Linked DNA regions of Macaca mulatta. The protein of the gene in region 2 interacts with the protein of the main gene of each other region in a biochemical or structural test. Links are inferred from orthologs where the notes say so. Each region holds a gene or a part of one and is shown on either strand. Other genes may lie near its edges. The genes, in order: CD72 and SEMA4D.

Region 1 (3,257 bases), about 56 Mb from region 2:
GAGAGGCCACAAGAGTCAAGGAACCTGTCAAGCAGCCCAGGGAGCTGACTAGCAAGCTGAGATGAGATACAGATTAAAGTAGAGGCCAGGTGCGGTGGCTCACACCTGTAATCCCGCACTTTGGGAGGCTGAGGCAGGTGAATCACCTGAGGTCAGGAATTAGAGACCAGCCTGACCAATATGGTGAAACCCCGTCTCTATTAAAAATACAAAAATTAGCTGGGCGTGGTGGTGTGTGACTGTAGTCCCAGCTACTCGGGAAACTGAGACAGGAGAATTGCTTGAACCCAGGAGGCAGAGGTTGCAGTGAGCTGAGATTATGGAATTGCACTCCAGCCTGGGTGACAGAGTGAGACTCTGCCTCAAAAAAAAAAAAAAAAAAAAAATGTAGATATGGTTCCTAAGTTTCTACTCTCATGCCAACTCTAATCAGTTAGTAGGGGCTGCCTGGACCACTGTGCTGAGAAGATGCAGAGGTTGTTTCCAAGCTCAGAGTTCAAGAGTATTGTGATTCTCAGTTTCTTCCACGGAAAAGGAATGGCCACCCCAGCCATGTATGCACTGCCATTCCTGACTTGATGACATATGTCCCTTTACCGAATAGTACCCACCATAGTCTGTGAGTAAGGATATGCTTACTGATTGTTGATAAATTTCACTGAATGTGGCCAGCTTGGAAGACAGAGTTTCACAATGTTTTTGGCTCTCCTGCCAAGTTTTCGAAGTAGGTGAGATGTAAAAGCAGCTTTTCTGATGCACTGTCCATCCCGTCGGACAGCAGGTGTCTAAAAAGCAGAAAGAGTGTGATAGCAGCAACAGTTGGGATGAAAGTAACTACTCAGCAATCTTTTGCTAACAATATTCTCCTAGGGCTAATCTCAGCACCTTCATGGACTTCTATGATCTTTGCAATCTTTCTTTCTTTTGCATCCCCTGGAAACACCGTACCTGTCCTTACTTAGTAAAAAGACTTTAACATTCAACAACATTACTTCTTAGCAATCTAGGAGGTTTGTCTTAATAGGGCTAATTTTATTACCCCAATTTCTGAACAATTGCAGTCCACCCTGACACTTTACCTAACATCTCTTGGGCCCATCTCCTCCACTCCCTAAAGCACCCCCCACTGCACATCCAAGACTTCCACTCCTCCAGCACTGGCCCCCTCCTTCCCTCTCCAATTTCCTACAAGCAGAAAATGTTGGGTCCTGTTTTGCAGAAACAGCTCTCTCCATTTCCCTCAAAATTTCTCTTCTCTGTTCTTCTTTTCCTGACTATCCATAAGAAATAAATATCCCTCTTTCTTCAACATCCTACATCCCAATCTGCACTTCTGATCCCCAGACCACCTCTCTCCATTGCTTTGTTCCATCAGTCCTACCTTCATCATTCAAAAATCATTCACTCCCCACTAGCTCCCTCTGTTCTCTCTACATGATCTCATGTCCCCACCCTGCTACTCCCTTGAGTTACTGTCCTATGGCAACTTAAAGGAATAAAAAGAAATCCCTGCTGGGCACAACGGCTCACATCTATAATCCCAGCACTTTGGGAGGCCAAGGCGGGATGGATCACCTGAGGTCAGGAGTTCAAGAGCAGCCTGGTCAACATGGTGAAACCCCACCTCTACTAAAAATACCAAAAAATACCCAGGCACTATGGTGCACACCTATAATTCCAGCTACTCGGGAGGCTGAGGCAAAAGGATCACTTGAACCCAGGAGACAGAGGTTGCAGTGAGCCGAGATCACACCACTGCACTCCAGCCTGGGAGTGCACTTTAGTCTCACAGAGTGAGACTCCACCTCAAAAAAAAAAAAAAAAAAAAAGAACAGAACAGAAAAGAAAAGAAATCCGTATGGCCAAATGGAAGAAAGTGAGGGGATAAGTGGAACACTGAAAGGTAGGCAGGGGTGTTGGAAGCTATGTTAAGGATTTTTTATTTTTATATTATGAGAAAGAGAAAGTCAGTGTAGGATTTTACACAGAGGAATTTTGTTCACTAGCTATATCCCAAGTGCCTGGGCACAGTGCTAGAACATATTATCTGTTATGTATTCCATAACTGTTTATGTAATCAATTAACTGGAATGCTCTAGATTGGGATGACATGATCAGATTTTTGTAAAGAATTACCCTGGCTCCAATATGAAGAATGGACTGCGGGGAGAGGAGTGAGTAGGAAAAACATTTAGAAAGTTGTTGCAGCTATCCTTGCAAAAGATGAGGATGGGGAAAATCCAAATGGATTTATAGACTTGGTGATGGGAAGTGGAGGGAATTCCTCTCAGAGTGGAAGGTGAGGGCATGTGCTGAAAGTGAGGGAGAAGGAGTTATTATGGAGAGCAAGCTAACCACTGCAGAGGTTGCCAGGCAGTGCTGAGAGACTACAGTCTCAGTGGCACTGAGCAAAATGATTCCACAATTTGTCACACCTTGGTGCTGACTGTGGGCAGTTGGGTTCATCCAGAGTTGAAATTTTGCCCATCAGGTGCACTAGAAGGATAACGGAACAAAGAAGCGAGTGAGCCATGTGCGGTGGCTCACGATTGTAATCTCAGCACTTTGGGAGGCTGAGACAGGAGGATCGCTTGAGCCCAGGAGTTCGATACCAGCCAGGGAAACATAGTGAGACCTTGTCTCTATTAAAAAAAAAAAAAAGTGAGTAGTAAAAGTGATGGGCTCCAAACCCATGATAGGTAGGGAGAGAAGTGTGGACAGGAGACAGCTGATGGGAAGGGAGGAAAAGGGGAGTCAGCAGATTGGAGGCCTCAATGAGATCAAAAAAGTTTGGGGAAAACCTGGAGGAGTGGTGGGCAGCTGTGATCAGAGTGGAAGTCTGAAACCATCCTTTTGCCAGAAGAGCAGTTTGGGATGTAGAGGTCTAAGGTGCTGCTAAGAGAATGGGCAGCCCTGGCATGGAACTGATGATCACAGAGGTTCAGGTTAAGGAAATGAGGGCAAGGGGCGTCTGCACATAATCTTGCTGTCTTATGCCTGGGGAGATCGACCAGATGACCCCAAGCTAGACAGAGCCTAAACCTGATCATAGCCCAAAAACACCCCAGTCCCCTTGGGCCTGGCACCTTGCCTAGACCCTCAGCCTGTTTTGACACAGCCTTGCCTCTTTTATGTGTCCCTTTCCCCATCTCCACCTACTGGCTGGGGTCCTGCTTTCAAAATGAATGGACACCCCATCCTAGTTCCCTACACCACAACTCCAGGCTCCACCTCACTGTGAGTGCTGAGAGCCTCAC
Region 2 (4,482 bases):
CAATTTGCTTATCCTAAGGATCGCCTTAATTAGCGTGCCGAAATCACCACCCGGCTTCCAGGGAAGGCCCTGGCACACCCTCTCCACCTGACTGAATCAGCAGCTATCTCCTCCTAATAAATCTCTGCTTTCCCATGTCATCTCCCAACAGCAAAGTCCCCAGCAAACCTCTCCCTGTCGTGTGCAGGGGAGCCTGCTCCTCCCTTGCTCTACAAGCTCAGCTCTTGAGTGACACCCTGAGACGTCCAGGACAGCCCCGGACCCTGAATGGCAATAGTGATAGGGATGGGGATGCAATGGGCAGGGCTGAGGAGCTGCACCTGCCAAGCCCAGGGCGGACCCTGGCCCAGGGAAGAGAGGACCCATCCCAGGTGCCTCTGCCACCTCCCTTCTCACCTTCCAGTTTTCTTCCTGGAATCGTCCAAGTTCAAAGAAGAAATAACTGCCCTGGTTGGGAACAGCAGGCAGCAGCCTTTCTCTCATCAACTAAGCTCAATAGTCAGCCCATGGCACGTTTATTCCTATATTTCCACATGGCAAGTTTCACCCCCATGGGTCCTAGCTCCAACCCCGGAGCTCTGGCTCCAGGGGATCAGGAGGAGAATCTGCAACCAACCTCCTGGACCCAACCATCCCTCTCTCCCCACCAGAAATGGAACCAAGAGAGGCAGAAGCCTGAACAGGCTCAATCCAGAAGCACAGAAGATAGAGAAAATCATTGATCTTTGCAATGCATTATTGATTCTGCTGTTGTGCTGGCAGCCGCGGATGTTCCCTCCCTCCTCAGTCAAAGCCGGCCATTAGCGCGCACTCCCAAGCTTTGGCCTGGACGCACCCGCTTGGTGTGGGGAAAGTGGCTCTAGATAACACCTGCCTCCAGTGGTCCGCATGGAAAGGACTGTCCACAAGTGGATGATGTCACCAAGGACATCTCCCTGGCCCCAGACCCACTGGACAGCTAGTGCAACATGGTCGCTGGTCTTGCACTCCAAACGCTGAGTGCCCAGGACCCCCGGCTCTCAGAGAGGGTCTGTGCAAGGCTGCATTTTCAGCAGACTCTGGGTGTGCTTGTCAGGAGCTGGGCCCCCTCCCATGGAGTGCCTCCCTTGTGCTGTGCTGCAAAACCCTGGGCTAGCATGGCAGCTGGGGCTCGGCTTCCCCACGGTGGCCTTTGCCTGTCTGCACTCTGACATACAGCCACTGAGCTCCTCCGTCTACCAACTCCTGAGCAGCCCACCCTCCTGGGACCCCAGGGCTGCTCCTGGCACCAGTGATGTGTTTTTATTTCTTTGTTTGAGTTGCTGAGTGTACCATGTACACTTTTCTCAGTCTGAAGGTCTGGCCTTCTGGGGGGGGCAGTCTTTGCCCACAGAAACAGGCCAGCGCATCCCTCATCCTCCCACCCCAGCCTCCCTGAAGGGTATGCTGAGCCCGCCTGCTTTCTTCTTCTGGCTGACGACTACCAAGACATGATATACACAGACACCAACTGTCAAAACGACAATCAGGGCATTATCATCTCTACCAGAATCCTGCCCCTGCACTGGCCAGAGCTGCCTGTTTCTGGGACACAGTAAACATTACCAAATAACCTCGCCTGGGCAGCCAGCAGGCAGGCCCCAGGCCTAGGACACGTATGAGGTGACAGGCCACTGGTGTCACTTCACCCCCAGGAAAGGAAACTTCCGTTCAGTGGCGCCTGGTGGATTTGAAAAGACTCAGAGCAGCAGGGTGAGATGCTTGGCCCCAGGCCCCACGTCCAGCTTGGCCTTCGGGGGCCTGGCCACCCACGAGCCTGGGATGTGCTCAACACAGAGTGAGGTTTTCCAAACAAAAGCAAAGCAACTTCATGTGGCAAACGTTCCGGAAAGCAGGACACAGCCCTCAATACCAGGCCTCTTTTGACGCAAACTGCCCACCTACAGACTCCCATTCACCCACGCCCGCACCTATCCCCCAAAATACGAAGCCAGATAAATAAAGAGGACAACCACGAGCTCAATTCTCCTTTACATGTTTTTACTGGCATAACCCCAGTAGAGCCAGCCCCTTGCAGCTCACCAGGCGGCTGCAACAGGTGCAGCCCAAGCTAAGGCTTGTGGTTCTCCTGGGTTGTTCTACAATAATGCAGCCAAAACCCTAAAGGAAACCGAGGCCTGCAGCTGCAGCACTCACTGCCAAGGCGGCGACCTGACCACTGCGGCCCAACCTGCCCCACCTGTCTGAGTGCGCGGCGCCGGGTCCAGTGCACAGGGGCCGCGGCCTCCGCAACCAAAATAGAAGCCCGCGGGGGCCCGGCCGGAGCCCGGGCTGGCCGGAGCGAGGCCTGACCTAGCGGGGCCAGACCGGGCGGGCCGGGGCGCGACGGGGCCTGGCCGAGCGCGCCGCCCCCTCCCTGGCCGGGGTCTGCAGCGCGCCCCCGCTCCCCCGCGCCCAGGGGAGCCACCTGCGCGCAGGGACTGGGGAGCCAACCGGGAAGGGGAGAAGGCCGGGAAGGGATCGCAGAGGGGTTCAGGGGGTCGGAGGGGTTCAGGGAGGGGTCCGGGTAGGTGTCTCCGGGAGGCGTCCCGGGAGGGGCCCCGGGGGGATCCAGGAAGGAGTCCAGGGGTCCGGGGGATTTTAGAAGGGGGCTCCTGCAGGGGTTCGAGGAGGGCCCCGAGGGTCCGGGGAGGAGCCTAGAGGTGTGGAGCAGGGGCTCCGCGGAGGGTCCAGGCCGCCCCCAGCGCACCTGCCCAGCCTCGCGCGCCCTCCCTCCCGCGCCAGCCCAGCCGCTTACCTGGAGCGCGCCTCCTGCTCTCGGCGGCTCCCAGCCGGGCGAGTTCGGGCGCCAGGAATGGCGGCGGCGGCGGCGGCGGCGGCGGGAGGCGGCCGGGCCAGGGAAGGGGCGGCGGGGAGGCCCGGCGGCGGCGACTGTGATGCTGCGGCGCGCGAGGGCGCGGAGGCCGGCGCGGGGACGGAGGGCGCGGGGCGGGCGCGCAGGCCCCTCCTCCGCTCCCCCTCCCTTCCCGCCTCCTCCCCTTTCCCTTCCCCTCCCCCTTCTTCTCTTCCCTCCCCTGGCCCCGCCCCTTTCTTCCTCCTCCCTCCTCCTCGCCCCTGTTCACCTCCCTCCTTCCCCTCCCCCAACCTCTCTTTTCCTCTCTTCTCTTTTTCCTCGTCTTTCTTCACCTTCGTAACACTCTTCCACCTCTCTCCCCTTCTTCCCACTTTTGCTTCCCACTCCTTCCTCCTCACCTCCCATCTCTCTTGCCTCCCCGCCAGGCCCAGAGGGTTATCCCTCAGCCCTGGCTTGGTCTGTGCTGAGTCAAGCACCCTCCCAGAACCAAGAGGTGCCCTGTCACCCTCTTCCTCACCAGCTGTTAATAGACAAGCTTGCCCCTTCTGGGGTCCTGGATGAACCCCACCCTTTCCAGGCCTCCCCCAAATCCCCCAGGTTTTTTTCACCCCCAGACCCTGAGCCAGCTCTTCTGAGAACCTGACCTGCAGTGTGGGTGTGGCACGTGGCACCCAGAACACTTGGCTGCTGACTTTGGGCAAGAATATTTCACACCGGACTGCTCCTATTCCCCAGGAGCAGGGGCTGGCACCACCTGGAGGCTTGGTTTCCCTGAACCCCCATGCTAGCCTTTTGCTAAACGTTCGTTTTCCACTCTAGATGGCAAATGGTCCTCCTGTGAGGTTGCTGGTGAGGCGTGTTTGTGACTAGCCCATGGGTTTGGGGATCTGGGGGCCCTCAGAGATGGTGCTCCTCCATCCAGACCTCCTCCCTCTGCCCCCAGGAGAGGTGACAGGGCTGGCACGGTGACTGGCCAGGCCGGCAGGCCTATTGCGGAACACAGTCCTGAGAAGGGGACTCCGTTCCTAATGGAACCGGCTAGGATTTCCCCTAAATGTGAGGGGTTGGGGAGCCCCTCTCCAGGCCAGGTGATACCTCCCTGGACTACAGACTGCTGTTGAGGGCCAGGGGTCCTGAAGCTGTTTTCCTGCTGAGCACTGCTCTGAGAGCCAGAGTTTACAAATGAAGCCTGTCCCAGGCCCAACAGTCACAGAGTTAAAGACCCAACAGTCACAGAGTTCCCTTCAGGGGCCTCCTGTGGTTCCTGTGGTTCAGTGCCGGAGCTCTGACAACAGGGCTTGGGCCCAGCAAGGACTAAGATGGCAAAGCTGGTGTCAAGCAGGGTGGGGTGCAGCATGCACCCCCTCCTCCCTCTACCGCGTGGCAGCCACCACCCTCCGCTGAAGAGTCAGGGCCTGGAATCTGATAGACTCCCTTGACTCACAGCTCTGCAGTTTCCAAGGTAACCTCAGGCCTCAGCCCTCTGTACCCCGCAACGGTCAGTGTGGTCATCCTGGAAGGTTTGGGGAGCACGGAAAGAGAATGGCAGGTAAAGCCCACTGCACTGTGTGCTCAGGTTCAGTGCTGGTGACTATTACAAGAAAAAACTAGAGGAGAAGTCTTTTCCAAGCTCTTTTCCAATTGTATGG

What was found.
Region 1: the proteins of SEMA4D (region 2) and CD72 form a complex in vitro, tested with the Homo sapiens proteins (2 studies listed by BioGRID and IntAct). The link is inferred for Macaca mulatta from reciprocal best matches to the Homo sapiens genes SEMA4D and CD72.

Annotation. Positions count from the first base shown.
Region 1 is NC_133420.1:64,082,726-64,085,982, reverse strand, and holds part of CD72 (B-cell differentiation antigen CD72), read right to left. Parts: intron 786-3,257; coding exon 640-785; intron 1-639. UniProt on the Homo sapiens protein: Co-receptor of B cell receptor (BCR) that plays both positive and negative roles on B-cell functions. Recognizes the Sm/ribonucleoprotein (RNP) self-antigen ligand, and coligation of CD72 and BCR inhibits BCR signaling.
Region 2 is NC_133420.1:120,172,489-120,176,970, forward strand, and holds the start of SEMA4D (semaphorin-4D), read right to left. Parts: upstream 2,942-4,482; 5' UTR 2,777-2,941; intron 1-2,776. UniProt on the Homo sapiens protein: Cell surface receptor for PLXNB1 and PLXNB2 that plays an important role in cell-cell signaling. Regulates GABAergic synapse development. Promotes the development of inhibitory synapses in a PLXNB1-dependent manner.